2 linked regions of the Cricetulus griseus genome follow. The protein of the gene in region 2 purifies or fractionates together with the protein of the main gene of each other region. This does not show direct contact. Links are inferred from orthologs where the notes say so. Each region holds a gene or a part of one and is shown on either strand. Other genes may lie near its edges.

The links.
Region 1: the proteins of Plekho1 (region 2) and Capzb purify together in Homo sapiens (co-immunoprecipitation; 3 studies listed by BioGRID and IntAct, counting the BioPlex papers as one, with this or other methods). This does not show direct contact. The link is inferred for Cricetulus griseus from reciprocal best matches to the Homo sapiens genes PLEKHO1 and CAPZB.

Annotation. Positions count from the first base shown.
Region 1 is NC_048595.1:14,042,487-14,057,954, forward strand, and holds part of Capzb (F-actin-capping protein subunit beta), read right to left. Parts: intron 9,408-15,468; coding exon 9,286-9,407; intron 5,188-9,285; coding exon 5,074-5,187; intron 1-5,073. UniProt on the Homo sapiens protein: F-actin-capping proteins bind in a Ca(2+)-independent manner to the fast growing ends of actin filaments (barbed end) thereby blocking the exchange of subunits at these ends.
Region 2 is NW_023276806.1:60,518,735-60,534,890, reverse strand, and holds Plekho1 (pleckstrin homology domain-containing family O member 1), read right to left. Parts: upstream 9,470-16,156; 5' UTR 9,344-9,469; coding exon 9,317-9,343; intron 9,182-9,316; coding exon 9,035-9,181; intron 8,467-9,034; exon of another isoform or gene 7,091-8,466; intron 6,740-7,090; exon of another isoform or gene 5,846-6,739; coding exon 5,705-5,845; exon of another isoform or gene 5,208-5,704; coding exon 5,103-5,207; exon of another isoform or gene 4,776-5,102; coding exon of another isoform or gene 4,763-4,775; coding exon 4,661-4,762; exon of another isoform or gene 4,085-4,660; intron 3,968-4,084; exon of another isoform or gene 3,714-3,967; coding exon 3,009-3,713; 3' UTR 2,754-3,008; downstream 1-2,753. Other genes in the region: uncharacterized protein LOC113833187, read left to right, coding at 9,607-9,891; Vps45 (vacuolar protein sorting-associated protein 45), read right to left, coding at 12,829-12,916. UniProt on the Homo sapiens protein: Plays a role in the regulation of the actin cytoskeleton through its interactions with actin capping protein (CP).

The sequences.
Region 1 (15,468 bases), on a different chromosome or scaffold from region 2:
ATGAGCTCTGGAAGTGAGTGGTGCCAGCCCCCCTTCAGTTAGAACATCTGGTTTGGGGCAGAACTGGAGGCCAGGCCAGATCTAACCAGAGAGCTGGAGAGGGGCAGGTCCCCTGTCTTCTCTGGGAACCCGAAAGGTCAAGGTGATGAGTTTGGGCTCCTATCAGTCGACTGTGGTGGCTCTGGCTAGTGAGATGGCCCTGTTCCCAACAGAGAGGAGCCATTGCCCTGTACTGGAGGGTCCATTCCAGGTTCCTCCCCAGAAAGACAGGTCTCAGGCCATGTAGTGAAGCCTGAAAGTGAACTAGGCACAATCTGGGCCTAGAAGAGCTGACTATGGCCTCTGCTGGGAAAGAGAGCGCACGGCAATCCATGAGCTTGCCGTCACCGCTCCCATTTGCAACTCCTATCTTTCATCTCACACATTCCCTACATGGAGCTGGCTGTACCACCATGGGCAGAAAGCTACCTTGGGACTTGGGAGAGAGAGATGAACAGCTGGGATTCCGGGGCCAGGGTGGAAGTGATGGAATCCGAGACGACTTGGAGCAGGTGGTACCTTATAGTCTGCCCCTGAGGCAAAGCACACCTGGCATCCTGGGCAGCTTCACAAATCAACCCTGTATCTGAAACCTAGGCTGTTAGGGTACTGCTGTCACAGGAACTCTCCAGGAGGGAAGGGAAAAAAAAATCGTGATTATTTCTGTCCAGGACAGCAAAGAAAGCAGTGGGGGGAGGGGAGGCTGGAGAGGAATAGTGAGGAAGGGGGCAGGGAGCAGGGAAAGCGGGAACCAAGGCACTTCAAAGGCAGCCAGGGAGGAACCCAGCTTGCCTCCCTCAGTCCTACTTGCCCTTGTCCACCTTGGGGGCTGCTAGCCCTTTATCCCTAATTGAGAACCGTTCACAGGCCTGCATGTGTGCTACATCCCCATGGGAGTTCTAAGCCAGAGGGCCTGCATTGCAGCCACCCTGGCCCCAGCTGCCACTCTGACCAGACGGACTCCATGTGCGGGTGATTAACTCCAATTCCCTGCAAAGTCAAAGCCTTTACAGACCTGGGATCAAAGCTGAGGCCTGAAGACAGAATCTAGTCTTTTCTTGGATCTCATGGCAGAGAACCCTAAGGGAGGCCCTGAGCACTTCCCATCTCTGAGAGGGCTGAGGCAGCCCCACACACTCCCTGCCCTCTCCTTCTGTCATCTTCTAAGGAAAACTAGCAATAAAGGCAAGGTCATAGCAGGTAAGCAACCAAACGCGCAGTGATGCTGCTGCACACGGTCTCATGGGCAGCAGGACCATGGCATCTAAGCCCCTGTATTCTGTTTGGAATGTGTGCCAAACCCCTGTATGAGCAGGCTCAGCATGCCCTTCCCAATATAAAGGAGGGTGAGACTCCCTGAGGGTTCACAGCAGCCCAGTGTTCTCCATGAGGAGACTGTGACTCTGCTGTGTCCGAAGCTTGGAAGCTCCTCATGCGGTAGGGAGGAGTTGAAGCCTTGAGCAAAGGTCAAGCATGGGTTCTCCTCTGTGATCTATCATGACCCAAGAACTCTGAACTACTGGAGACAGTCAGAGGTTAAAGGTGGGCTTGACTGTCACACGCCCCACCTACAGCACAGCAGCTTCAGTTACCCAGCCTTCCTGGGTCCAGCATGGCTTGCTTGGAGGTACTGTTCTCATGTTCACAGGCTCACATGTTCACTTGTTCCTTTTCTTTCTAGAAGGGGTGGCTTTGAGGAATATGTGTGTATTTCCACCAGGTCTGGAGCCAGCCTGCCTTCCTGGACCCTTGGAACAGTCTAGCACTGGGTGGGATGTCTCCTCCCAGAGGACCTGTGTGTTTGGTGTTTGCCAACATGAAAAAAAAACAAGTGCTCGAGTCCCTGGAAGGGCTCTGTGGCTTCATTCATGGGGTGACAACTAAGACTTCCTGTGGGCGGAGGTCAATGGCAGAGAAGGGTAGCAATGAAGAGAGAAAGGCATGGTTTGCCATCCCTGCACACCAGCAACAATGTGGAAAAGTCCTCAGCGCCACACAAAGGCTTTCTAGACACCTGTCTCGAAGAACCAAAACAAACACACACACAACACACACACACACACACACACACACACACACACACCCAGACACACACACGACTCTGGAGTTGGATGAGGATATGTCCTGGTTAGTTTTTATTAACTTGACTCAAATTTGTCAACTGAAGAAGAGGAAACCTCAATTGAGGGATTGCCTCCATCAGACTGGCTGTGGGCAAGTCTGTGGGGCCATCTTCTTGATTACTGATTTATGTGGGAGTAGCTGGAGGGCCCAGGCCACTGTAGGAAATGCCACCCTTCAGAAGGTGGTCCTGGATTATATAAGAAAGGTAACTACGATCATCAAGCCAATAAGCAGCATTCCTCCATAGTCTCTGCCGGGACTCCTGGCTCTTCCCTCAGTGATTAACTGCAACCCCTGAGACAGACAAACCCCCTCCTCTCCAAAGCTGGCTTTCGTCAGTGTTCACCGCAGCAGCAGAAAGCAAAGGAGAACAGCATGGTCTTTCTCCCCGTAGTTCTGCCACGCTCTGACCGTGAACGTGGATGAAAGCAATTCTGAATGTCGATTCACTTCTGGGAGGGGATAGTCCCTAAAGAAGATGGCCACAGTCCAGGGTCACCAGACAGTGACTTACTACCAATGCTGTCTTACTAGCAATGTTACTGCAACATGAAACTGACTCTACTTGGGCCTCAGCGTGAAGAGTTCATTTATTTGAAGCTGCTTCTATGGCAAGGTGAAATCAGAGAGTGAAAAACTAAAGCACAGACAGCAGGTTTTCAGCACCACCAGGAGGAGCGATCCCACAGAGTGGCCAAACAGGAGATGTAAGACCCATCAGATAGGAAACCCCATTTGAACCATGAGAAGTAACATTGGCACAAATGTCAAGCAAAGGAGATTGAATCCCTGCTCTCTGCCGGCATGCCCTGTGAGTTGTGGGAGCCTCAGTATCTGTGTCTTCCTCTGTGTCACCTTTCCTAGAAAGATGACTTGGTAGCTAAGAGCATTAGCTGTTCTTCCAGAGGACCCGAGTTCAATTCCCAGCACCCACATGGCAATTCACAACTGTACCTCCTATTCCAGGGGATCTGACATCCTCACACAGACACACATGCAGGCAAAACACCAATGCACACAGAAATAAATTATAAAAAAGGCATCATATGTAAATCCTCACCATATAAGACATCAAGATGGCTGCTATACACACAAGTATGTGGGGGGCCACTGAAGTGTTTGGGACCATGTGGTGATGGCTCTCTGGTAACCGTCTGTGTCAGGCTAAGAAGGAACCCTTTTCCTCCTAAGTGAGTTTCAGCAAACTGGTGTGAATGAATGGGAGACCATCCATAGTCTGCCCGCTGGAGCCCTGGGTTTGTCTTCTAACTTCAGGGCATTGTTCAAATTCACTGTTTCTCTCAGCTCCTTTTTTTCTTCCTCTATGCTAGGCCAGGGTTGAATCAAGTAGAGATGGAGGTTGAATCCACCTACATCAGGGCTCAAGAAGTGAGTTTTACATCTTGTAAGGTGGCATACAAAAAGACAAAACCAAGATCAGCTGTCTGTGGCCTGCAAGCCTAATGTGATCACTCACCTGTCCCTTCATGGGAGTGTGCCAACCCTTGTCCCAGATTTGGGGGGGAGTGGGGCAGATGGGGATGGGGATGGGATTTCTACTAACTTTGTATTGCTATATTTCTAGTAGAGAACCTAACCTGAAATGAGATTCTACTCATTAAACACAACCTTCTCTGGAGCCCTTCCTTGAAGAGTTGCAAAACTGGAACAAAAAGGGATCAAAAGGAGCAGATTTTCTTGTGCTGATGTCCTGATCAGCTTTGGACTCAGATGTTTATCTGGTGCTAAAGGAGGTGACTTGTTGGTGAGATGCTGGCTATGCAAGCACGGGAATCTGAGTTTCAACCCTCAGCACTCAGGAAAAACAAAGCTGGGCATGGTAGTGTGAGCCTATAACGCGAGCACTTGGGTGGGTGGGTGCGAGATAAGGAGGATTCTTGGCACTTGTTAGCCAATGAGTGTTTCCAAACAGGTTCAGTGAGACCGTTTCAATAAATAGAATGGAGAGTGTGGTGCACATCTTCAATCCCAGCACTCAGGAGGCAGAGGCAGGTGCCTGTCTGAATTCAAAGCCAGTCTGGTCTACAGAGTGAGTTCAGGACAGTGGGGGCTATACAGAGAAACCGTGTGTGTGTCTGTGGGGGGTGTGTGTGTGAGAGTGGAGGACATGTGACGATGACCCCTGGCCTCCATGTGTGCATGTGTCCATATTCACACACACACACACACACACACACACACACACACACACACACACACACACGCACACACACACGCACACACTCATTCATACCTCACACACGCGCACCAAAGGAAGGAAGGGAGGTAAAAAGGGTGTTAGGGGTTGGGGTTGCCATGTCCCACTGCATGACACCCCAGTTCATTCTGCTTTGGCAACTGAGCAGTCAGCTTGGGCCCCCAAGCTCCAGTCCAAATGGAGTTCTATCTAAGAGCTGTGGTGTGTTCTCATACACCTGTAATCTCCACACATGATCACAAACTCAGTTTGCCCAAGCTACAGAGAGAGACTGTATCTTAACTGCGTATTTGTGAGTGATCACCCATGTGTGAGTCTTAGCTTTGCCCCTGCCTTGGACAAACTTCCTCATTCTCTCTGTGTGAGCGCTATGTGGTGACTGCACCACTGTAGCATCCGACACTTTACTCCCACTGAAATAGCTATTCATTTGAGAGGACCTGAGACAGTGGGAACGCAAAACACATGCCCTGTGTAAACATGCCCTGTAAACACATATGTGCTCTCCCGACTCACCTGCCACTATTGTGAATGGTAACAGAATAATATGGTCATGTCTGCCTCAGGTGGCTCCGACTTTAGCAAGTTAGGAGACCAGGCAGCAGAGCAGGGAGGCTGCTCAGCTTAGTCACGCTCTCACAGAAGATTTCCCCCCATGAAAGCCCCGAGAGCTAATGTGCAGAGTAACTCACAGGTCTCGGTATTGGTCGAAGGCATTGTTGGCCTCCACCTCCAGCTTTCTCAGTCGAGCAGAAGGCATGGCCCCATCTTCCAAAGGAGGATCATACTTGTTACTCCACGGTGACCTGGAAGGTAGCAAAGTAGGAGATGGTCCTGTGAATCATTCCGAGTCCCCTGGCCTGTAAACAGAGGGTCCAAGCTCAGCTGCCTCAAGTTCAGGGGCCAAGTCACCAAGAAGTTTTCTGGAGAGGCTTATAGAGCAAAGGGTCAGATGTCAGCAGACAGGCTAAATGCAGCTGTTAACACCAGCAAACACCTTAGCTGCAACCTCACTTTCTCCTGTGGGAAACAAGGCTACCATTCACTACCCTTGGGCTGTTTTGAGGAACAGATAGAAAGAATGGCAAGTGCCGTGGCCACAAATACCAGTGTTTCCCTGTGTTCACCATCAAAGTGGTCAGCCAGTGCCCATGTCTCCCTGACTTTCTGGAGGCTCCTCAGACTATAAGTATGAAGAAGATTGCTGTCAGTTAGAGAAGCAGGCAGGAGGTGCCTCGCTCCTTAGGGAACACAGTCAATGAACCCAGCACACAGGGCTAAGCACACAGGAAGTAAAGAGAACCAGGCCCCAACCTGCTGCTTTGAAAAGCACCTTTTCCCACACCAGGAGAACATTAGATCACCAAGAGCAATGGGAGGCATTTTAAGAAGGTCTCCTTGCTAGTTTCCAAAGGAGTGTGTGGGGGGGGAAGGGGGCTGCGAATGTGCTTGCCCACACAAAGAAACCTGTCCATGATAAGTCCTCAGGCTCAATTCCCAAACAAGAAATATCCTTTCCAAGCTCAAGCCTGCCCACCCCTACCAACAGACTGAAGACCTAAGGACTGATGGAGAAGGGGGAACAGCCTGGGCTACCCCAAGACCAGAACTAGCTTGAGTCTTTGATGAAGGGGCCGTTGTGGCACCTGACAAACTCTGCAGGGTCCTTCGGGCCAACAGACAGGGATGGAGCTAGGGTGACATTACATGCTTGCAGTCTTGGCAGCTGTAAGAGGTACAGGAAGATCAAGCTTGAGTCTAGCCTGAGCTATCTAACGAGGCCCTATCTCCAAATACAACAAAACAAGGGAAAAAGGGAAAGAAAGACGAAGAGGAAGAGGAAGAAGAAGAGGAAGAGGAAGGAAGGAAGGAAGGAAGGAAGGAAGGAAGGAAGGAAGGAAGGAAGAAAGGAAGGAAGGAAGGAAGGAAGGGCGGACACACAGAAAGGCATCTTTCCTCAGATCTCAGAGGACAGCTGAAGGGTGCTGGCAGCTGCCACTACTTACTAGTCAGCGAGGTTTGGCTCTTCTACTGGGGGACAGTGTGCAAGAACCAACTATGAGCTGGACCTCCCCCCAACCCTGCTTCCTCTGAGAATCCCTGACATATCTGTAAGCAGGGTGAGTCCACATCTCCCCCCCTCCCCCCTCCCCCCACCATCGCCTTCACATGGGCACAGAAGACCCAGCCTTTTACTCTTTTTGAAAGACAACCTGGACCTGCAAGGTGACACTTGCTGACAAGCCTGATGACCTGAGTTCAATACCTGAAACCCACATGGTGCAAGGAGAAAACCTTTAGGTTCTGACCTCGAGTGTGTGCACATGTACACATGTACACATGTACACATGTACACATGTACACACACACACACACACACACACACACACACACACACACACACACACAGAGTGGGGGGGGGATAAATGTGGTTAAAAATCTAAGCAACCTGCTAGGACACAATCACCCATCCCATGCAGACTGGGGCCTGAAGTGTAAGAAGCCTGTTAAGTGGTCCTCCTGCCTCACAGACGACGGCATTTCAAGCCGTTAGGCCTGGAGCCGGGGTAATTGTAGCTGGGGGAAAAAAAATCATAACATTACCCAGAATATTCTTAGTGGAAGGGGCACTCAGAACACATTTAAGAGCTTAAATGGAGGCCATTTGAGAAAAGACAGATGGACAGGAATGCTTAGATTTCAAAAGTCAGGCCTTTCATTTCCCCAGAAGGCTTTTTGTTTCAGCTAACAGGTTTCAAGCAGTGCTGCTGGCAGCAGCCGTGTCATACGGATCTTATTTAAGCAAACGATCAAACACAGGATGGAAATGTGTGGAGAAAATCAGAGGACCTTGAAGTTTCAGATCCAGAAAGGGAGAGGGAAGTCAAGCTCTCTCCTTACCCCCTCTGCTCCCCCGTGAGGCCTTGGTCCCTAGAGCCCCCTGGAGCTGTAGTGGGGCCTGCAGGGTGCCCAGGAAGGGATGACGCCCTAGTGGGAGGGGCACACAAGCCGGGACTTCATTTTGTCTTTCCCTGAGCTCCAGCATAGCAGCGACCTTACCTGGTGTGTTCAGAAACAGCACTGACAAGACTCCCAGGAAGCCCTAACTGAACCTGGTGAGGGTTTTTTTCTGTGGCCATGTGCTCCCTTGGCCTACCACAGGGTTGTTTGTCACTTTCAGGGCACTCCCCTAAATGGCCAATATCTAGGTAGGAAAGTGTTGGGCGAGACTTGTGGACAGGGAGAGAGCACTGGGGTGAAGAAGGGTGTAGTTGCCAGGACACTCAGGGAGAAGCTGTGTTGAAGAAAGGTACCAAGCCACGTGATAGAATGTAGATAAGAAACATGAGTTAGGGGCTGGGGAGATGACTCAGCGGTTAAGAGCACTGACTGTTCTTCCAGAGGTTCTGAGTTCAATTCCCAGCACCCACATGGTGGCTCACAACCACCCTGAATGAGATCTGGTGCCCTCTGCTGGCGTGCAGGCACAAGACTGTATACATAATAAATAAAATCTTAAAAAAAGAAAAAAAGAAACGAGTTAATTTAAGTTGTAATAGTTAGTAACAAGCCTAAGCTATTGGGCAAGCATTTATAATTAATAAGTCTCTGTGGTTATCTGGGAGCTAGCTGGCAGAACAGAAAATTCCACCTACACCCTGGCTACCCCCTCTGCCTCTCCCTCTCTTGTCCTGTTCTCTTTAACAGTATGTTTGCTATATTTATTTATTTATTTATTTTGGTTTTTCGAGACAGGGTTTCTCTGTGGCTTTGGAGGCTGTCCTGGAACTAGCTCTTGTAGACCAGGCTGGTCTCGAACTCACAGAGATCCACCTGCCTCTGCCTCCCGAGTGTTGGGATTAAAGGCGTGCGCCACCACCGCCCGGCCTGCAATCTTTTATGCATGTGTTTATGTTATGACCTGTCTGGACCTCACAGGAAAAGAAGCCGTGAACAGTACCTGGAGCACAGGTGACACTTACAGAATGATGCTTCTGCATGCTCTGTGGGATGAATGACCACTACTGTTTCTGTTCAGTAGAGCAGAGATGACAAGGGATTGGCTAAAGTCCCAATGCTGATGCGGAGCCCACACTGCTGCTCCCAGTCACTCTGCCTGTTTCTTTAACATTCTCCAAAGAGTTCACAGTGTGGTCTCTACTAAGCTAGTGTGTGCAGGCCCAGGGAAATCCTGCAATGTTCTGGGGACTCTCACACTTGGAATTTTTAAGGGAAAGTATCTCAAGTGTGCCGGGTACAGTGGCTCACACCTTTCATCCCAGCACTTGGGAGGCAGAGGCACAAGGATCACTGAGTTTGAGACCAGCCTGGTCTACAGAGTGAGTTCCAGGCCAGCAAAAGATACATAGTGAGACTCCCTCAAAATAACTGGTTGGCTGGTTGGTTGGCTAGTTAGTTAGTTAGTTAGTTAGTTAGTTAGCTAGTTTTAGTCTATTAAAAACATCTAGCCCAGCATCATCTGTTTCACAAAGTCATTCTGGAGTTGACCACAGCTTCTTCTGGGCTCTGCCAAGGTCCTGAGCCAACTCTGAACTGGCTGTATGGACCACAGTATAGTTCATCAGCTACTGGATGTGTTTTCCTGGGCAGGGACCAATATCAACTTGGCCTCTTACAACAGGCCACATGGTGGAAGGCAAAGGAAGGGAGAGAGAGGAAGGAAGGACATGCCACCCCATGGGGCAGCTGGCTTTGAAACAGCATGGCTCTTCCATGAGACTGCAAGACACCGAGGTCCTCTGTCCAGTGCTCAGGGGAGGCACCCACACACGCCTGTTAATGGATGGGATGGACAGCTAAAAGGAGGAGGAAAAAGAAGGACACACAGAAATGTGTGGAAGGTCCCGGGTGCCGCAGAGACGAGCACTGCTGTATGAGCTCACCTATAGGAGTCCCCATCTCTGTTGTAGTCGCATAAGAGGTAATCCTTGCCCACCACCTTGTCTCTGGCAATTTTCAGTGGTTGGTCAACAGAAGACAAGAGATCTTCACACAGACTGGGGACCTGGTAAAAAGGTAGAAAGGTGGTTAAAGTAGCACCTCTAATTCAGGTTCCGACACCACAAGGTCAGGCTTTGACATCTGGCTTGTAGTGCCCTCCAAAATTCTGAGTCTGGTCCTCTCCACATGTGCCCAATACCAACTGTGGCTCTCTATAAAGAAACCTGGTCGTGAGATGTCGTGGAGCATGACTTCCAATGTAGCTTTCTTTCCAATCCTGGGTGTGGCTTTAATTACCTGACCACCAGGGTGGTCTATGAGTATGAGGACGTGAGTGCCGGGTATTGGTTTCTGGTGGACGAAATACCAGCTCAGGTCTTGAGAAGAAGGCAAACACTTCAAATACACAGGAATGCAAAGAACTCAAAGAGTAACCAGGCTCTGGAGAACTCCCACAGGCTCCCCCATGCCGGGTGGAGTTTCCAGCACTTTCCAGGCCCCCGGCCAAGCATTACCAGGCTGCTCATAGCCAGCTGTATCTGCTACAGAGGTGGCTCTCCGCACGCTTTCCACAGCAGAGAGCAGCCAGCTCACCTCCGCAGCTTCACCTGGGTGCACAGCCGAGGGTGACAGGAGAACAGCTTTGTGGCTCAGGTGGCTGGAACAAACTACAGGGTACTGCCAATGGCCACCAGAGCCTTTGAGGGAGCAGGCTGGGGCTTGCCTCCTCCCAACACAAACATCAGTTTCCACCAAAGTATTCCAGGGAGGGACGGCAGCCCTCGAAGAAGCGGGTGCCTTTGTGCTTGAGTCACGTCCAGTCTCCATGTCATGGCTTTCTCATTTTAGGGTCTGGGTTCACGGGACCCCACCTCATCATTGCCCACACCAATAACTCTTGGAAAAGGGGCTGCCAGCAGAGGGGGCTAGCAGCAGTTTGGGTCCTGTGTCCCAAAGGCTAGCACCACCAGGACAACCAGGCTCTGATGCTTCATATAGCTGTCCTTGGGGTGCATCACTGCTTAGCTTGGAAAGTGCTACCTAGCACTAAAGTGTATCTTGCTCCAAGGGGTGCTCCATCTCTTGCATATACACCAGTCCCAGAGAAAAAGTACACGCCTCCAGCCAAAGCATGCTATGCTTGTTTTCAGAACTTGGTCAGGGGCTGGAGAGATGGCTCAACGGCTAAGAGCACTGGCTGCTCTTCCAGAGGACCCGGGTTCAATTCCCAGCATCCACATGGCAGCTTACAACTATCTGTAACTCCAGTTCCAGGGGAACTTGCACCCGTGTACCCAACCAACCAGCAAGTGGGGTTATTTTCAAAGTTGGCTTTGGTGACATCACTCTCTATCATGTCTAAGTGCCCACTGGGTATTGTCTACGATGTTGGGCCAGGTATGGCAAAGCATGCTGTTTACCTGAATGCTCATACCAGGACGTGAAGGAGGTAGCCACTGCCTTGTTTTACAGAGTACAGATCTGAGGCCCAGAGTCCTTAAGCTGCCCAAGGTTCACACCAACAGCCAGCAGTGAATACAGAAATCCACTCTAGGGCAAGGTGTCTCCCAAGATCCTCCATTCTGCCTCTCTGGACAGTAAGGACAAAGGTGCACAACTCCTCCCAGCCCCCACTACTGCTCAGTTATAGCTAGAGTCCTCCACCTGGGACACCCTGGATGTGCCTCACGCTTCCATGAGGCAGCTGGGTCTGCCCAATGAAATGACCCTGGCACCTGCACGCCCACCTTTCATGCTGTGGCTTGTTACCAGGCCCCAATCAAGCCATTGGGCTGCTGCTGGGGACTCCTTGCACAGGGAACACATGTCAAGTCAGCCCTGGCACCTACTTCTCTTCATCTGGACCGATGTCCAGACGTCTGCTAATATTGGCTAGCAATGCCAGCCCTCTCTGCACCTCAATGCACCACACTGCTTCAGACAGTGGGTGCTGAGGGATGCTTCAGAAGCCAGTTCTCCTTTACCAGCCAGGCTGGCAAGATGATGGGAGCTGCCGGAAAGAGGGTCAATTGCCAGTTGGGCACAGTTGTGTGCATTTGTAGTCCTCGCCACTGAGGGGGAAGAAGGATTTCAGCCTATGAGTTCAATGTCAGCATGGTCAGGCCTGGTGGTATAGTCCTATAATCCTAGGTATTAGGAGGTCAGAGACAGCCTAGGTTGTAGAATGAATTTCAAACCAACCAGAGTAACTTAAGACCTTGTCTCAAGAAAAAAATAGATGTCTGGGAATATAGACAGTTCAATGGCAGAGTGCTTGCCTATTATGCATGAGGTCCTAAATCAATCCTCAGTGTTTCAAATAACAACCAACCAACCCCATCGCCAAATCAAACTCCCAAACCCAGCCTGAAGAGTCACAGCAATGTTAGAAAGACAACCAGAAGATCTTGGGTCACTGCCCTGCAAAATATATATCTATCTATCTGTATCTGTCAAAAAGAGTAGGCAATTCACACCAGAGACTAGTCACCCATGAAGAGCTGCCCTGGACTTCTGGAAGCGCACCAGTTCTGACCAAGCACAGAAGAACTTACATTTCAACTGAGCCCCTGGTGGCACACAGGAAAGCCAGGAGATCATGCAGGACACAGGATACACCCCAGCGCACAAGCACTTGGATAGGTTGTGCAGGCTGGCTCTCCACCCACTGAGTCCCTGAAGGATAAGTTCTCAAGTAGGGCCATATTTTCAAGTTCTATTTGCACCACCCCGTCTTCTTCTGATCAAAGACAATCAAGCCTGGAGCAACACCACTATGGCCATCACTGGAAACAAGTACAGGATATACAGTGTGGCAGGGAGCAGCTGCCCCAGAGTGCACTGGGGGTACCACCTACCCGTCCTGCCCCTAATCCTGAGACTGGCCTACTAGCTGTCCCCTCAACATGCAAGTTTGTTTACAAACCCTCCCCACTGAGAGCTGGTGTATACACTGTAGGATGATGAGTTAAATATGAATTTCAGATTTATGATGAAGACCATTTTAGTCTGACTCTGCCTCAAATGTTCCACGGGACAACCAACAGTCTATCACATTCCCCTTCTGGGTCCCAATGTTCCTGCAGGCCCACCCTGCACTCCCACTCCTCAAAAGGGGTTCCTGGAATAACCCTGTGTCAGCAGGACAGTGAATAAGCCTGAGCTGGCTGTCCTAATACCACCAATAGACTGCTCTTCCCTGCCCCGTGTCAACTGGGTTAATGCTGTGCCCAACGAGGCCCTGAGGGCACCCCAACCAAGCATTGTGTCCCATCAGCTGCAGAGGGATCTCAATCTATGCTCAGGCACCTGAGATCACACTGGAGAGCAATGGCTGCTCATCTCTGAAACCCAGTAGATTATTCAAAATTTCTCCCCTCCGTTCTTCCCACCCACTGGTTGTGTCATATTCTTGGTTGTCACAAATTGTAAGTTTAAAGAGCAACTTAAATGCATGGCCAGGTCCAACTAGCTAAGAGTCCACTGTGTGTGCCTTGTGGCCGTGGCTCTGCAGCCTTTAAGGAGAGGAGTGGAGCCAGCACAAATGGCTTTTGGTTGCTCCCCAAACTGCACACTTGACCTACCTTGCTACCACTGGCCTCTGCACGGAACGTTTACCTAACACCAAGGGAGTTGGTCAACCCAGGCTGCTGGGAGTACTTAATTTCCAGTGACACCATTTAATGTTGCTGGGACAGGGCCTGCTGTCACCTCCAGAGGGAAGGCTCAGAGCACAGCATTCTTTATTGCACACTAGCCAAGGGGCAGGAACCAGGTGCTCTTGTCTGGCTTTGGGTTCAGCCCAAGCACAGCAAAGAAAGCTTTAATAGGGTACAGGACAACGGCATGTGCCTGTTGCCCCAACTACTCAGGAGACCGAGGCAGAAGAAACACTTTACTCCATGAGTTCAAGACCAGTGTAGGCCACACAGCAAAACCTTATACCAGATAATGCCGGTAATAAACCACAAAAGAGATGAGCATCTGCCACCATGGGGCCAAGTCTGTTGGCATTACTCACTCCGATCCCCAGGGCAGGTCTTCATAGAGACCATTTATTTTAAAGAAGGGGCACACGGGGCCTGAGCAACAAGCTGCTTAGAGTCACACAGCCAGTAGCCAGCATCTAAGAGGGGCATAAGGGACACAGTTCAGCTGGGTTAAGAAATACATCTCAGTGCTGCTCCTGCCCAAATGGCGTGCTTTCCTCCTATCTAACCCAACAGCTGATCGAATGAAAGGCAACACAAATCAGAAGCTTCCGGCCACAAGCAAGCCTGTGTGAGCTGTCATATGGTTCTACTTTGCCTCTTCCTCTTTTCCATTAGTTATTAATTTTGAAAAAAAAAAAAAAACTTGTTCAACCAGAAAAAGAAACTCGAGATGAACCCTTTAAAAAAAAAAAAAAAAAAGCACAAAAGCCAGAGTGGTTCAACTCTCCGGATAATCTAATCCCTGGCGCCCTCGTCTTTTAGAAGTGAACCCTTGGACCTTGATTTTTTAAAAAATGGCCAAGTGAACACATTCCATCGTTTGATCTGCTTGCTGGCTGAGAGCCCGCCACCAGAGAGATAAGGATCGAAAGCAGACCCTGTCCACTCGGGTGCACATGCAGATGAGTGATGGTGAAATCAAGGCTTGGGAGAGAGTCCCAGCTGGCCCCACTCCAGAGAAGAGGGGTAGATGCCAGAGACCCCAATGGCCAGCAGAGGGCTCTGCTTACAACCAGATCCTGCTTTCCGCAGGGCCCCAAAGTCATACTTTTAAAAAAATAAAGCAACGGAAGCAAGGAAGAGTGTCCCTAGCGGCACACATGTCAGCATCAGAAACACAACACATGGTGGGAAGGCAAACAGGTTCAAACTCTGGTCTGCCATTACCGGCCTCCTAACCCAGGAACTGGGAGTTCTAACACCCCACAGAGAAATTCTTCCCATACACTAAATACCGGAGTGCCCGCTGCAGGCACAGGACAAGGCAGACATACACAGTTCTCTGGTCAGCAAGGTCCAGTCATGGAAACAGACTAGAGAAGGGAAGGTTTGTGCCAATGGGAGATCTCAGTATTGCCAGGGCAGGAAAAAAAAAAACAAAAAACCTGGGGACACAAGATGAGGCTGGGGGTGGGGGGTGACATGCAAATGACAGAGATGGCAAGGAAAAGAGGAGGGGTATCGGCACACAGCTCTGCAGCAAGAGCCCACCAATGAAAGTGTGAGAGTCAGGGTGTGCACACAGCAAGAATGGTCCCTGTGAGGCATACAGCCAGACACAGAAGGCCAGGAAAGCAAGCTGTCCCAAACCAGTCAAGCTGGGAAGGCAGGGGAAAGAGATGACTGAGCAACAGGGTTTGTGCCCACCACCAAGTAGGGCCTGCTCTCTCAAAGTTCAACAGCAGGGTGGGGCTCCTGCACGGTGTGGCCCCCAGCTCCTCCAGGCCTACCACTGCTCCTCTTTACTGGACACTAGATTCTTATGCAGAAAGATACCCATAACCCTCATCTGAATATGGTGACCTGTAGGGTGTAGCATTATTAACACTATTGTATGTACACATCAAGTGTGAGAAATCCCTTCCCAACTTTAGAAGTACGAAATGCAAGTGATCCACATGAGAGAGCTGGCAGGGCAGTCTTGCTCCTGGATGGCTCCCAGCTCCTGGTGGGCTGTGCTCTGGTGCCTGAGGGCCCACAGCAAATGGCAATGAGGTGCCCAATGTTGACACAGCATTAGAACTCTGAACAAGCCATGGAGGCCCAGCTCTTTGTAACATGAATGAGTGGATCGAGGCGGGTATAAGGCATCAGGCACAGGGAGGAGTGTGGCCACACCCTTTGTGTTTTCCTCAGTCCTAGGGCCGAGTCTGAAGGAGGGCTCCACCAGCACAAGCAATTGGAAGCTGCGGCTCAGTTTCAGACCTTGAACATTTCACAGCTGGGGCTTAGCTGCTTTTATTATCTCTGTGGTCACTCAGGACAGGGTTCTCAGAGTTCATCAAAAGCTCGAAATCTATAAAGCAAAATCCATGAGTTACAAATGGCCAAGGCCAGGCCTTGACATCCACCAAGTACAAATGATATGCCCTGTGGGGCAGAAGGGGCCATCATCATGGTCTCACCAGGTTC
Region 2 (16,156 bases):
CTCCTCAACAATTTATGGAGAAAAACAGGAAAAGCTGAGGGGCTGTCGTTAACTATGACTTAAGCATCTGGTTCTCCAATCTACCTGTCTCTACTCATCACCCTGGTTCAACTCTGTGTCCTGGATTCCCCCTCTTCCCATCCCTGGGCCTCCCAGAGGAGTTTCCCTCTCCAGTTCGCTTGGGCAAGAAGACAGAAGCCAGGCTGTCGGGAAGCAGGGTGAACATGAAAATGTCTGTCAGCAGCTTTGCCACAGAAAGCCACCCCAGGCGACCACAGAGCTTCTTCCCTTCTCCTCCACACATGGCAACTGAGGAAGAGAAATGAAGTAGGGAGAGGGCCCAGGAGGAGACCAGAACAGCATGCTGGGACCCTGACATGGTTCAAAACATTTTTACACCAGCAGAGATCTCGCCGGCAGCCGCCCACCCCAAGCGTAGAATTTAGGTTGCTTTTCTAGTGTGGAACGTGGCTTTGTGTTAAGCTCTGAAATGGTTGCAGACCAGGAATCACGCTCTTCCCTCCTTCCAGCTGTCTTCAGCACAGTGCCTGGAGGTACCTCGAATGCCCTCCTTCCGGAGAGGGATGGGCATGGCCTGTGGCCCATTCCAGGATGAGAAAAAGTGGTACTGATGGCCTTGTGGCCTTTGCCTCATTCAAGCTGTGTTCTGGTCACCTGACTTTGCTGTTCGCTACTCACTGAGCCAAACTGGTCACCGCAGCCCTGGGAGCCATGAATGGAGAGACGAGGAGAGACCACTGGCTGTTCTTTACTACGCAACAACTTTGTAGTTTGCAGAGAAAATACTAATCAAGCCGTTTTACCCAGGGCAGATTAACCAAAAAGTAACAGTCAGAGCTTGAATCCAGACCCCCTGTGGTTTCCAAGCCAGGCTGACTTTAGCACCGTAGGGTATGATGCTGGAACACTGGCTGGGGAGCTGGGAGGTTTTGGGGGGTGTGTATTTCCCTCCCCTGGATACCACCTGTGATTGGCATGTTGGGACACATATGTCATTCTTGTTTTGCCTTTTTTCTTCGTTATGTGGGGGCGACAAGGAGGAGAAAGAGAAAATGGAAAATGCTGATAAAATGAAAATATGGGAAGGCATCTTTAGTGTGTAATTTTAAACCAACTTTCAGTATTTGTGGCAATGGCTGGCTCTCAAGACCAGGGCTAGGGCAGTGGAAAGTGGAGCCTCTGAGGGGACAGGAAGCCTGGTTCCCTTACTTTGTCCCCAGGAGTGCCTGGGTATTCAGTAACAGGGTAGTTTGTGTACTTTCCTTGGCTCAAGAGGGGTCCTTGAAGCTGGGTGTTGGTGGCGCACGCCTTTAATCCCAGCACTTGGGAGGCAGAGACAGGTGGATCTCTGTGAGTTCGAGACCAGCCTGATCTACAAGAGCTAGTTCCAGGACAGCCTCCAAAGCCACAGAGAAACCCAGTCTTGAAAAAAACCAAACCAAATCAAAAAAGAGGGGTCCTTGTTTCTAGATAACTATAGCTTTATAGCTATGGAGAAAACTTTGATGGCAGTGAAAAGCAGGGAACTAAGAAAACAAAAGCCTGTCTTCGGGCAGGATGGGGGAATGGCGTAGTGGTAAGGGCATTTGCTGTTCAAGGACCTGAGTTCAAATCTCCATCACTCACATGTGCTGGAAAACCCAGAATCCCATTTTGATGGTTTAGTTGGAGGATTCCCCCAACTTGTTTACAAGGTGGTTAAGTCCCAACAGAATAGAGGTCAACAACATTCTCTCCCCAGCCCCCTTAGCTTGTCCTATCTATCTCCTCTCACCACCAGTGAAGCTCTGGGACCTGGCAGCAGAGGTGAGGCCTCAGGGGGAGCAAGGACAAAGGACTCATGCTCCATCTTTAAACCCTGTATGCCAGATTCTAGAGACTCTATGTTCTTATCTCATGACTCATCCAGATCTTGTGTTCCCCACTCTAGGCCTTACCATTAGCATTAATAATCTTAGAGAGCCAGCCATGGGGGACTTGCCACAGAGCAGGCAGTTGGGGAGGTGGCGGTATGGGGAGAGCTGTTCTGAAGCTGTGTTTGTTGGGAGGGTGGAGGCTGGAGGAGGGCGGGTAGAAGGAACCCTTGCTTGGCAAAAAGAGGAAGCTGGGTACAGGTCTGGCTTCCCCTCCTTCCCACACAGCTGCCATCACAAGCCAGTTTCATTTTTAGGTTAGTTCTTCCACAGGATCAGTTGCTCCCCAGTTCCTGTGCTACTCCAGCCCAGACAGAGGACCAGGCCGGTTTCATCTATTCAAGCTTGTACCTTGAATCTCTGGTGGAAGGAACAGAAAGCACCTCAGATAAGAAAACCGAGGCAGCTCAATGTTTTTGTAATGCTGGAGAGGGCACAAGGGCCTCACATGTGCTAGGCAAGCACTATACCACTATAGCCTCAGCCTTAGAGACACCTCTCTCTCTCTCTCTCTCTCTCTCTCTCTCTCTCTCTCTCTCTCTCTCTCTCTCTCTCTCTCTCTCTCTCACACACACACACACACCATGGTGAGAAGCCAGTGTTAACTCCACATATCCTCCTCAGACCTGGGGTACATTTCACTTCTCTTATGGCACGGACAGGTGGCACTGGCCCCTGTGTCCCTAGAACTCAAGTTGCACAGCTGAAATTTCACCCTCAGAATGAGAACCTGCAGTGGGACATCTGAGGAAGCCACTTCCTGGGCCACTCTAACCCAGATGGGTATGCATCCGCGCCTGTTCCCGACTGGCCTGGGAGCAGGTGGCATGTGCGCAGTGAGCGCTGTTTTATTACTCCGTGTGGTGAGAGCTCCTCAGGCCTCACCTTCTCCGATCTGACCAGCAAATTGTCTAGGGGAGTTGGTAGGAAAAGGCCATAGCGGGTCAGGCATCAGCAAGAGCAATGAGTTTGATTTTTTTTTTTTTTTTTGATTGAGGTAAATAAAAAAAGCTTTATCCTGCAACATTTGGAGATAGTCTGTGCCCCCTAAATTCCAGACCTGTCCCCCCTCCTTCACAGTAGGCTCTTCCGGTATTGACTGTGCTGGGAGGTCTGTCTGAAGTGGGAGTCGGGGGTCTGCAGGTCCATCTGTCTGTACAGGTCTCTCAGTTCCCTGACTTCCTGCAGGACCCTCTTTGCCTGACTCCAGTTGGACGAAGCCTCTCCCAGTAGCCTCTCTGTCTCCAGCAGCAGCTGCTCTGACTCAGAATCGGGTGGAGACTGTGGGGGGTCCTTGGCCTTTCGCTTGCAGTCTCCCAGTCCCTGAACCTCTGCCAGCAGCTCCTGAGTCTTCTCCAGTTTCCTTGCTACCAGGTCCTGGATCCGGGACAGCTGCACCGGCTGGGAGGGAAGGGGGGCTGGGGATTCCTCAGCTTGGAGGTGAAGGGGGCTGCAGGCTGGGGCAGTGTCCCTCTGAGACAGGATCTCCTCCAGGGAGGCGCAGCGGCCCTTCTCTGTAGAGGTCAACTTCTTCGGGGCTTGGGGGGTGTAGGTGGCTCCCTTGTCTGGTTTTTCCCAAGGCCGAGAAAGGCTGCTGGCCCGGTGTGAGGGCTGGATCCGGTCAGAGTCAGCTCTTCGTCGACTGCCAGCCAGTTGGGCCACAGACTTGTCCAGATCCACCCGAAAGTTCTCTGCACAAGAGGCTGGTTCCTCAGGGGAAGGGTCTTCCTCTTGGATGAGGTCTAACGTCAGCATCCCATCTGAGGTAGAGGTCGAGGCCTGGGAAAGAGAATGTGAAAGAAGGGAGGAACTGCCATTAGCACATGCCTTCCTGGCCTCCCCCACTCCTGACTCAGCCCCTCGACATGGCTATTTCAGATCACTGTGATGATGACTTGAAGTTCTTCCTTTTGTTTTTCTGTAACATACCTTCTCCTGCATAGTCTGCGTTCTCTGCTCTGCTACAAGCCTCCTGAGAAGTGTCTGCTGTGGACTCTTAAGTATCACATGGGATGGCCACAGTTCACAGTAAGGTACACACACAGGAGAATTCTCTATCCACGCCCTCTTGGCCACACACCTTAGCTTGCGCTGATACCCGCACTCTTGCTTGGTAACAGACCTTGTTCTCTTATTTCTAAATGCTGTAGCAGCGGTAAAGGGAAGTCAGCCCCATCTATGCCGCTGCACGTGGGCCGTTCTGGACATTTCTCACTACAAGACTCGTCACCACCCCACTTCACAGCCTGGTAGCCCTAGAGATCACCGGTCTGCTGAATCCAAAGCCTGTGTCCTTCCTCCTGCAGGCACAGCCTCTCCCTAGACCCGGAACATGGTTGAATGAGAGAAACTACTTCATGCAGTGGAAGGTTTGCTGTGGGGCATAGTAGCATTTACCATCACTCGTGAGGGTGGCTGGCCACCACACGGCAAGCAGCATGTATCACTCTGCACACACACTTCTGTTTTTCTCTTTCCTAGGGGCATTTCTCATTTCCTCAGAAGTTACTGAGAACACAATGTCTGACTCAGGGCAGGTGCTGAGTGAGCAATTTTGATTTGGGGAGTCAGACAGGGAATGGAGGGTGGACAGGCCGACTGTGCCTTTGATCCTCCTATGAGGAGGACTCCCACAAATGCTCCTGCTTGTTCGCAGCTGAGGTGGACTGACACAGAGCTGCCCCCCCCCCCCCCCGCAGTGTTTACTTTCTTGCAGTTTTACATACCACAGCCATGAGGTGTCCCCGAGTTGGAGGGCGGCGGGAGTGTTGGATTTTTGCTCTGTCTCGAGTAGGGTGGGCAAGGAAGCTGTCCTCCTCAACGGTGACCTGAAGAAATGCACTGTGAGTCACAGGTTTTCTTTAGGACTCTGGCCCAGCTGGGCGACCCCTAACTTGCCTGGACTGCAGAATAAGCCCACCCCACCAATTATTTCTGAGCAGGGTCACAGGCAGAAGGGTTTATGGACACAGATGCTCCAAGGCTGGCAGGAAGCTGGAGAGGAGGGTGAGCAAAGACTTCAGAGAGAAGATGGGACAAGGGGGCCTTCAAAGACACAGAGAAAGTAGAGTTGGGGAGAGCTAGAGGGGGCCCCCACACCCCTCCTCCTCTAGTGAGTCACAGCTTGCTTTCTGCTCTAGTGTCCCTTTCCCCACAACAGGCCCCTACCTCATCCAGGATACGGTTCTTAGCCCTGGTGATGGCAGAGCTCAGGGCGTTGATCCAGGACTCCTTTTCTTCAGGACTCACCGCCAGGAAGATCAGGTTGGGGGCCTGTGAGGGGAATGTTTCTTGTTTTAGCTAGGGTTTTACAAATAAAGAAAGAGATGTGATAATCTCATCCCTTGCACCCAGCTCCTGGAAAAGAGTGGCTCTGCGTCTGGGATCATGAATGACTGAAAGAAACCCTGAGTCTGTTCCCGCAGAATGCACAGGTTGTTTTAGACATAATCAGGGATGAGCTAAGAGTGACACTGGATTTGAACTTGACACTGCAGACAATTAGGGTAGGTGTGACAAAGCTTAGGTATTAGAGATCTTTAAATGTCTGAAGACACAGAGTGTGACAAGCATGGCTTGTGTGTGTGTGTGTGTGTGTGTGTGTGTGTGTGTGTGTGTGTAAAGGGGGAAAGGGGGCAGAGCCAGTTAGATAATAAAAGCCAGAGGGAGATCAAATCTGGGGGCTGTTCTGGGCCTTGCAGCTAAGACTACAGCGAGGGAGAGCCTGCAGGGACATTTCCCCACCTAGCCTGCCAAGCCGGCAGACCTACCGTGGTGCCTGGCTGCTTGCATCGGGCCAGGGTGAACTTGCTGTGGTTCTTCTTGCTTCTGCTCTTAGATTTCCGGAGTTCTTCACACTTTTCATAGTCACTCAGGTCAAACACCTCTTGGATATTTTTCTCATCTTTTACCTAGGGGAGTTTTGGGGTGTGATAAGGATAAAATTACTGTGCTTCTGCATCTGAAGAAAGGGAAGGGTGACAGAAGGAAGCTATCTCACCCAAGGCATATAACCGGGGATGGGACTCAGAACTGAGTCTGTGTGGGATTCTGTTTAACCCCTTTGCCCTACAAGCTACCATTCCAGTGCCTCCTTCTACCCATGACCCTCACTCTGTTTCTGAAGGACACGGCTTTACATGTCCTTAAAGGGACATGGTGATAGGCTGATCCGATCATCCCAAGTAAGGAAGATGCAAGTGGCCATTAACAGTCCAGGAGAAGGTGAAAAAGGCAGCCAACACCTGGGAATGGCAAAGGGCTGCTTCTGGCCTCAGGGAATATTATGGTTCACAAGAGTGTTCCTTCCCACCTGCTTTCTCTTCTAAAGGACTTTATCGGAGACTTTTCCTGATCAGCAGGCTGGCCACCCTCCTCTACTTGGTTGGGAATATGCCTGGAACTAGTTGGTCATGTTTCCCCGGGGAAAAGTCGAAACTGAGCAAACGTGTCTAAGTAGCCCAATGTTTCCCTTGGCAGACCTCTACCAGCCTGTAGCTGATCTGCCCATCCTTTTCATTTGCTGATTACACGTGCTGTGTGGGAGCAAAGGGCATACACATCTATCTCCATTTGTCTGGCAAGGCTCAGTTCTCTAGGGTTCTTCCCATTCTAGGGCTCCTGGGCTTTTGGCTGGGAAATGACCAGAGGCCTTAAACATTATGGTGGACGTGGGACCAGGTGCCACAAGGAACATTCAAGAACAATTCACAGGAACCCAGGCTGTGACACGGGGCCCTCCTCTCTGGCTCCTTCCCCAAAGAGACTATCAGCAGAGACCAGAAGGCTTGGAGAGGAAGAGCTGGGTGTGTGCGGCAGGGGAAAGACTCACTTGTTCTGTTTTCCTGAGGGAAGGGAGGGAGGGAGCTCCCCCTGCTTGGGCATGGCTGATAAGGCACTCTGGGAGCAGGAGGCATTGGCAGAGGTCAGAAAGGGCATGGGTAGGAGACTGGGTGAGTCAGGCAGTAGAATAAGTAAATGCCAGTGCCCAGAAAAGATGGGCGCCCCTGGCACCTTGTTCTGTGCTGTATTCTGTCTGTTTCTCACACCAAATTCCCAAAGTCTCATTTATGACTACATCTTCCAAATTAACCCTTTCTTCTCGGGGTCCACATACACACAAAGCATCACTTTATCAACCTAACTTCCTCTCCCAGGAAGCCACCCTGAGGTGTGGATCTGCTGACTAGAAGACATCCCAGCCCTTTTAAAGGGTGCCTTTGGAGAGTGGGGAATGACCAACAGCACACATGGAAGGGCTTCCTTGCTTTCCCAAGAAAGACTGACAGAAACAATGCAATGGGTAGGGACGTTTTCGTCTTTGCATCAGCATGTGACCTGCAAATACTATGCTCTTGGTTTTAATGTCGTCAGTCTATTGGTTTACTGCAGCTTTTGTTTACAGGCAGAATAAACCGTGTCTTTTGGCAGCTTCACCCTTAGCCCGGGTCCACTGGACCACGGAATTGGTTCTGAAGAAGGGTCATAATAAGGAGCAGTTCCCTCTTTTCCAATGCCCTCCCCAGTAGGGGGCATCTGGCTCCAGGACTAGTCAGATGCTCCTGACTCAGAGGACAGCAGCCACTCTAGGCTGAGGTCATCCTATCATCTCTCTGCTCCGTAGTTCTTCTTTGACATAAAGCTTATTAGCCAATTAATCCTGCACCTTTGTCCCCAGGTTCTGCCTTTTGGACAATCCCCAGGTTCTGCCTTTTGGACAAATACAAGCCAAAAAAAAAAAAAAAAAAAAAAAAAAAAAGCCTTGTTTAGTTTCTTTAGCCTTTCACTGCCCTCTGGTTTCCCTCTGACATGTAGGAAGCCCTTCCTGATTGCGCACTGCTTTTCCTGGCATTATGAAGTTCAGGGAAGACAGGAGATACACAGTGACACTTGCTGCGGCTTTTTAAAACAAACAAAAAAGTGGAAAGCAAGAAAATTGTGATGAAAGCTGTCTGTGGCATCTGTCTGTAGCAGTGACCCTCAAAGTACAGTCTCCTTCAAGCCTTCCCTCAGCTGCTCCAGGACTCTCCAACCGTTATGTTTAGGTCCCTTCAAGAGGGACCTCGCCTGCCGGCTCAGCGCTATTTAGTTCTCTCTACTTGTCTCAGTAGACAGTTTTCAGATGAGTACTTCTCTTGGGCTGCAAGTGTGTCTACTTCAACACCATAAAAGGATTTATTTACCCGAACAGAACGGCACAATGCAAGAGTCTAGTGCTGAAAGCAGAAGGGGTTAGAACTGGGGAGGACTTCCCAGTCCGTTCCGGGTGAGGGAACACAGTCAAGGGCGGGAGGGCCAGTCTGAGGGGCCAGTGTACCATGCTCTGTAAAAAGTCACAGGGAAGCAAGTTCGGCTTCTCAGCATTCCTGTTATTGATTCAAGAGTTACAAAAGGGGAAGGGGGTCTGGATTCCATGACCTGGCTTTAGATTCTGACCAGTGTGGGCTGTGGCTTCATGCTCAACTACAGTCAAAGCACACGTGCACACAGGCGCTCACAGTCCTAACTCGGTTCCACCACTCTACAAATAAAGGTGGGCAGAATATGAATTTCTTGTTTGTTTGTTTTTTTTCCTCATTAAGTGGAGTGGAAGGTGAGGAAGAGGCCTACTTCAGGACGCTGGCTTCTACAAAAGTCTGGCATCCACAGCTACCCTACCTCAGGTCCCAGAGACGGATCGCAGTTTGTGTTTTCTATGATTTAGGGTGACTTGCTACTCAAGAGACCTACATATGCCCCCTGCTACAGACAGGAACGGAAAGGATGGTGGGGCTGGGGTGGGAAAGGCAGAAAGGGACGAGGGACAAGATGAGCAGTGTGTTTCAACAGAAAATTAAAAAAAAAAAATCAATCCCGTATTTCAGGGGGCCAGAACAGGGGAAGAGGCAGCGGACGTTCAGAACTTCTGAGAAAGGTGTCCTCACAGGCACATTTAATTAAGTAAACTCCTAATTCCCACCCAGGTAAAGTCACTCGGGTGACTTTTCTCTGCAGATACAGGACTTTTGCGACCCCTGAACTTGCAGGGAGGGAGGCGGGGCAAGCCGGAGAACCAGCCGCCGTGGGGACCGGGTCGGGACGGCTTGGGCAAGGGCGCCTACCTCCTTCTCGGAGACGTAGAGCTGGTCGCCTTTCAGCACCACATAGCGGTTTTTCCAAATCTCCCTGAAAATCCCTTTCCCGCAGAATTTCCGGACCCAGCCGACCTTCTCGGGCGCCGCAGAGTGATGGTTTCCATCGGGAGGCCCCTGCGCGGGGCGAGACGAGGAGCGGCGGCGGCTCAGGCGGGTCTCCGCGCCCTCCCCGCCCGCCCGCTCGCCGGCCCGCCCGCCCGCTCCCCGCTCGCCGGCCCCGGCCCCATTGTCCGCGCGCCGCGCACTCACCCGCTTGCCGGAGCCGCTCTTCTTCATGGCCGGCGGGATCGGGGGCCGCGCCCGCTGCTCGCTCGCCGGCTCGCGCTACCCGCAGGCCGGGCCCTCGCTGCCCCCGCCGCCCATGCCCGCCCCGCCCCCGCCCCGCCGCACGGGCCCCCGGCCGCCGCCGCTGACGTCGCGGGCTCCGAATGAAGGGCGACCGTGGCGCCGCCGCCGCCGCCGCGCGCTCCCCGCCCCCCGCCTTTGTTTCCGACCCGGCGCCCGGCGGAGGCGCGAGCGGATAACCGAGAGGCGCGGCGATGGGGGCGGGCCCGAGGCGTGGCGAGCCGGATGGAGCGGAGGCGCGGGGCGAGACCGGCCGCCTCGGACCCTCAGACGCGGGCTACGGAGCTCCCTCCGGAGGCTCCGGTCTCGACCTCCTCCGGGGCGGCCGCGAGCGCCCCGCGAGGCCTGCGGGAAACACGCGTGCGGCGGCGGGGAGGCCCGCGAGCCGGCCGAGCCCTGAGTTTGTGACGGGGCCGGGCGGGAGCCCAAGTTTGAGGACGGCTTTCCTCACCACTCGGCGGTCTCCGTGCCCCTGCCGGGTAAATGGAGGAGGGTGAGCTGACCCATGAAAGCCCCGGAGGACCCAAGGGTTGTCTCCTAGGGCCAATTACTACCAGACAATAAGCCAATAAACCTATTACCTGGTATAGTATGGTAAACACAGCAACCACGAAGTGAGTAAAGACCCCTGCTACGGAGCAGGGGAAATAGTCTTTTTCCAGAAACGTTCAAGATGAAGGGTTGCGAAGTTTGTGGTTGGAGGCGTGGAGGATGTTTGGGCTTTTTTGGAATCTGTCAAGAAAGAACCTCAGACCCATCTCCCTTCCCAATCCTGTAAGATTCTCTTTCCTAGCCATACGAACTGATTTTTTTTTTTCTTTCTGGTGGATGCAGAACTTTATCCTTTCAAAATATTATTTTGGCACTTAAAAATATTGAGTACCGTTTTGTTAGGCATATAGAATGGGAATGTTATCCCTTGGGAAATGATCAGTCGGGCACGGAGAACCAAATGACATGGTCAAATTGACACACTACTGTTACATGAATTAGAATATAGGTTTTCTGACCCCGTTGTACCTTTTAGACTTTGTACACACAGAGCGCACTTCTGAAACTATCCCCTTCCCGTCTCCCCAGCTCAGTTTGGTACTGTCCTGTTTAAAAGGTGATGAAAAAAAAAAGTGAGAAAATGCAGGCTATGTGAGGAAGCATAATGTACCAGTGTGAGGACACAGCTGAGGAAATTAGCCTACAGGAGCTTTCGAGAACTTGTTGGCCGGGCATAGAAGAATGGTTTGGATTGAATATATATATATATATATATATATATATATATATATATATATATATATATGGTCTTACACAGCCTAGGCTGCTTTCAGCCTTACTACATAGCTAAGGCTAATCTTGATGTGCTAATCCTCCTGTCTCCACCTGATTTACATAGTTTCAAAGGGGCTGGGAGTGTGGCTCAGTGGTAGATCTCTTTGCCTAGCATTCAGGAGGGGGGTCTAGCTCAATTGTCAGCATCACAAGGAGGAAATAGAATGATAAATTGTGGCTGGGGGTGGGGCAGAAGAAATTCATGACTTTGCCTCATCGCCTTCCTCCCAGGAGCTTTCACTTAGTCTACAGATACTAGAGTATCCCTGGGCTCTCTGCACAGCATCAGGCAGGAGCTAGTGCTCTGAGAAACATCAGGCAGAGGGACCCATAAAAAAATAACCAAAGTAATTTTCAGATTCTAGAGCAGATGCATGTGGGCTGCAGAGCCTTTGCTGCCTGTCTGTGTCTTAAGATGTTACATAAATCTCTGGCTGGTCCCCGTCCCCCGGGGCTCCCTCCCTCCCAGTAACCGGAACTATTAAGAAGCTCGGCCATCTTCCTCACCTTTGCTTCTTTGTCTTGGCACTAGACGTTTACATATGCCAGCTTCTACCCAGTTTGCTGTAAAGTGGATTTCTCTCACCAGGCGAACATCATGGGCACCTGAATTTGGATCCTAAGTGGCACTGTTTCCAGAGACCAGTGCTTAAGTGAGAACTTAGAATAAGCACTTCTGATTTCCTTTACACATTTTTACAGCACTCAGGGAGCTTGACACACACACACACACACACACACACACACACACACACACACACACACACACACACAGGAACACATATACAATCTTAAAACTTTAAAAACACACTCTACAGAGAACCAGGAGGGACTCTTGTGGTGATAACAGACTATCCTGTGACACCTTTTCTCCAATTATGTGAGGACACTGTAATTTCCTGCCATTATTCATTCCATCACTTTTTACAACTTTCAGGAAAGTTTTCATTTGCTCTGGTACAGTTAAACGTGCCCTGGGTACAGGCATGCTCTCATTGTATGGTATAACACTATCTCAAGTCATCCCCATGAGTGAGCCTTAAAGAAGTCAAACAAAACCACCCGTATGTCTGCAGACTGAATTCTAATTGCAGCCCTACATGGGTTCTCAACACACAGCAAATGGCTCTCCAAAGAAGGGTGCAGGATTGAGGTGAACAGGAAATGAGGGGCTGTGTCCTGGAACTCCTCCTGGGGCAGAAAGGGAAGGCAGGAAGAACAGAAACAAACACAGGTACAGAAAAACTGAGGCCAGGTGCTCTGTGTGCCCCCTGATGAAGCTTCAGTACTGCCACAGCAACCTGGAGCCTCAGGGCCTCAAGTACTGCCAAGGGGGTAAAGAGGGTGGGGCTAGCAAGTCTCAGTAGGTGGTGTCTGTAGGGGGCATTCTCAGGCTAGTCTCAGTAGGTGGTGTCTGTAGGGGCAATCTCAGGCTAGTCTCAGTAGGTGGTTTCTGTAGAGGCAATCTCAGGCTAGTTTCAGTAGGCGGTGTCTGTAGGGGCAGTCTCAGGCTAGTCTCAGTAGGTGGTGTCTGTAGGGGGCAGTCTCAGGCCTCAGTTGTACTGGAGGAGGAAGCTGTAGTTGCTAGTTTTTTAGTGGTCAATATTGCTAGAACATTCCTACTTGGACAGAGGAAGGACTTGCCTTTCTGAGCCTGATCTAAGGGAAAGGCTTTGTCAACTTCCCATAGGTCTGATTCCACGGTCCTTACCATGGCTGGCTCCTATCACTCAGACCACCAAGAGAAGACAGGGCATAGGGATGGTACCATGTACAGCACACGGCTTTCTGACTTCCTTATTTTGACAACCCATTTCTCAAGAACAATCTCAACAACGCCCATCAAACACTGAAGTGACTGTGCTGTCAAATACACAAAGGACATGTTTATTTGGTACAGAATCACAAGTGGGTTGGGATGGGCTCATCATGGGCGTTCCAGTGTCTGTGCCAGCAGTTCAGGGATTGGGGTTACCTGGCACGAGTTACAACAAACACAAGAGCCTTCCTGAGGCCCCCGGGCAGCAGGGAAGGGCTGAGGCCGGGGTAAGAGGGAGGCTGTGCTATTCTCGTCATTCTTCATTGCCGTTTCATCTTCTGCTTGTTGACCTCGAGGTGGCCTGTGAGCTCTCCCTGCTGCGGCTATGCAGCCCTGAAGCCAGGACTTCCTCTAGGAAACTGACAAGGAGATTCAGGTTATTTAGCAGAAAAGCAAAAGCCTCACTAAAAAAGAGCATCACTCTCATGGCAGGCACTGAACAGACTTAAGTTCTATCTGATACTGTGTGCTGAGTATTTTGGAAAAAACATTCAGGCCTGGAGGATTGACAACGCCTTTATGTGTTTTCTTTTGTTTTTGTTTTTTTCCTTGGATGTCCTGGAATTCATTCTGTAGACCAGGCTGGCTTCAAACTCAAAGAGATCTACCTGCCTCTGTCTCCTGAGTGCTGGGATTAAAGGCGTGTGACATCACCTTGCCTCGCTAAAATTTTGCTGTTTTTTGGACAGGGTTTTATGACATAGCTCTAGCTGACTTAGAGCTCACTATGTAACCCAGGCTAGCTTCATATAACCCTTTTCTCTCAGCCTTCTAAGTGGTGAGAGTGTGAGTGTAGCCGCCATGTCTCACATGTCTCACATGTGCCACAGTGTGTCCTCTAGGTCAGAGGACAACTTGTAGCTCGGTTCATCAAGCTCAGCAGCGGGTGCCCCTATTCACTGAAACTTTAAAAAGAAGTCGCAGGACCCTGGATCTTTTAAAGGCAAGGTTTTAATGTATTACTTTAGGACAGTGGTTCTCAACCTTCCTATGCTGTGACCCTTTAATACAGTTCCTCATGTTGTGGGGACCCCAACCATAAAATTATTTTGTTGCTACTTCATAAATGTAATTTTGCTGCTGCTATGAATTGTAATGTAAATATCTGACATATAGGATATCTGATGTTGACCCCTGCGGGGACTGTGACTGAGGTTGAGAACCATTATACCTATTATCTGTATTTTATTAAAATACAGAGTTTCTTTGTTTTTTTGTTTTTGTTTTTGTTTTTGTTTTTGTTTTGAGACAGGGTTTCTCTGCGTAACATTACTGGCTGTCCTGTAAACAGAGATCTGCCTACTTCTGCTTCCCAAGTGCTGAGACTAAAGGCGTGTACCACTTACCAGCTATAGAGTTTATCTTATTGGATACTCTTTCCTCTTTAAAATCTTTCTTAAAAAAAAAAAGTGTGTGTGTGTGTGTGTGTGTGTGTGTGTGTGTGTGTGTGTGTGGTATGTCAGGACATGCATGTAGAGGTCAGAGGACAACCTTAGGTGTGGTCCTTACCTTTCATATTTCGACAGAGTCTGCTTAAGCTGGAGTTTTACTCAGCCACTTCTGCAGGGCTTGGTAAAGCTACCCCCAAAACATAAGCTAAATAAACAAATTGTTTAAAGTAGTCGCCCACTGGTGAGAGAGGCTTCTCTTTAACATTTGTAAGCAAGTTCAAGACTCAAGAGACAGCTCTAGAGCAGGGTGAGATGAGTGGAAGGCACCTCGTCACTGCTTTATAGTTCAGACCTGGAAGATTCTGGGAAGATTTAAATTCTAGACTCCATTAGAGACAAAAAGAAAGAGGAGGAGGAGGAGGAGGAGGAGGAGGAGGAGGAGGAGGAGGAAAGGAGTAGAAACCAAGCTCATTTATCTTCTGCTGAAGTATAGATGCCTCTGTCTGGCCTCACCTTTTGGCCATCAGACTGGAGATACTTACTGGAGGACACTGAGCCAGTGTCAGGAGAGGAGGCAGTATTGCATTTGGAAAGGGAATGTTCTCTGGCAATGGTTTCTAGTAAGAAGGAAGCTGTGCTGGGTTCCCTATAGGAATTTGTCAGATGATCTTTGCTCATTTTCAACTCTAGTACAAAGGGAAAAGAATTTGCTAAAATTATACAGCACACCCCTCCCTTGTAGATCAGTAAGACAGAATATTCCTGACTGCAAAGAGAAAACACGGTATTTGCCAAACCTAATTTTGTTTCCCAAGGCTATTGTGACTTTTCAAATATCTATTTAAGGACTTTGATGAGTCATTGCTCAGAATGCTTAAAAATTATGGGTAATGAACATATTGGTAGCTGTATCCTAAATTTAGACTATGTTTAAAAACAATGAAACAAAAAGAATGCCTTTTCTTGTCTAGATTTTTTAAAAAAAAATCAATCTTACCTAAAAAGAAACTAAAAAAATCTCGTGTGGAGCTAGAATGCGACCCAGTTCAGTTAAATTCAATTTAATAAATGTTTACTGAGCATGACTGTGAACTACATTGAACTATGTGTGGGCAGGACCATCGCCTATGAGGCTGACTTTAAGGGGCTCTCAGGGCCAGATACATAGCACATCTGGGCAGGGTGTGTGGCCTAAACAGACAGCATGGGGCTGACAGTCAGCACTGCTGCTCCTGGTTTGTGCTGTCTGTCACCAGGGTGCTTTCCCAACTCTCCAGATGGCAGGTGGAATGAGAGGAGTCTGGCTCTTGGACAGCAAGCCTTGAAAACTCATTATACACAGAAAAGCAGGCACTGGGCTAGAAAGATGGTTCAGCGGTTAAGAGCGCTTCCAGAAGACCTGGGTTTGGCTCCCAGCACCCACACAGTGGCTCACAATTTCAGGGGATCTGATGCCCTCTTCTGGCCTCTGCACACATGCAGGCGAACACTCATAAAACAAAAATAAATCCTTTTGAAATGCTTGTATCATTTTTACTTTCTAGTCTCTGCTCACAGAGCAGAAACCAGCACTCAGAGCATTAATGTTCTGTTAATTACTAGGCAATTCCTATGAATAACTGTTCCTAAACAACACTCCACACATATGTACAAACCTAAGTCAGCATCTTTATCCTTTTCACTATAGTCTAGAGGCAGATATTATATGGGAGGAAGAAGGGGGAGAGGGCACAGGCTCATTTGTGGGGACTAATATTATCTAATGCATACATGCAGTGCAATGGCTGCTGAGATGGCTTTGTGGGTAAAGGTGCTTGATGCCAAGCCTGGTGTCCTGAGTCTGCTTTTTGGATGCACGTGGTGGAAAGGGAACAAATTGTCTTCCAGTGTCCACATGTGTGCCATGATATGCATACCCCTTCTACATACACACTAAGTAGTATAATAAAAAAAATGGACTATGTAGTTTTTATGTCTTTATGGACCATATAAGAAGAAACAGCGTTAATCCAAGTGTGGTACACAGACAGAACCCCAGCACTTGGGGTTTTCTGTTTTCCTGAAAACCTTTATACGTTCCTGCCACAGCTTCATTTTATTTTATTAATTTAATTCTTCTTTGTGTATGTTCTGAATTATATGAAAATGGATACTCTAAAAGACATGTTACATTTTTCTGTGTCCTTGCATGTCCCTAGGAGTAACATA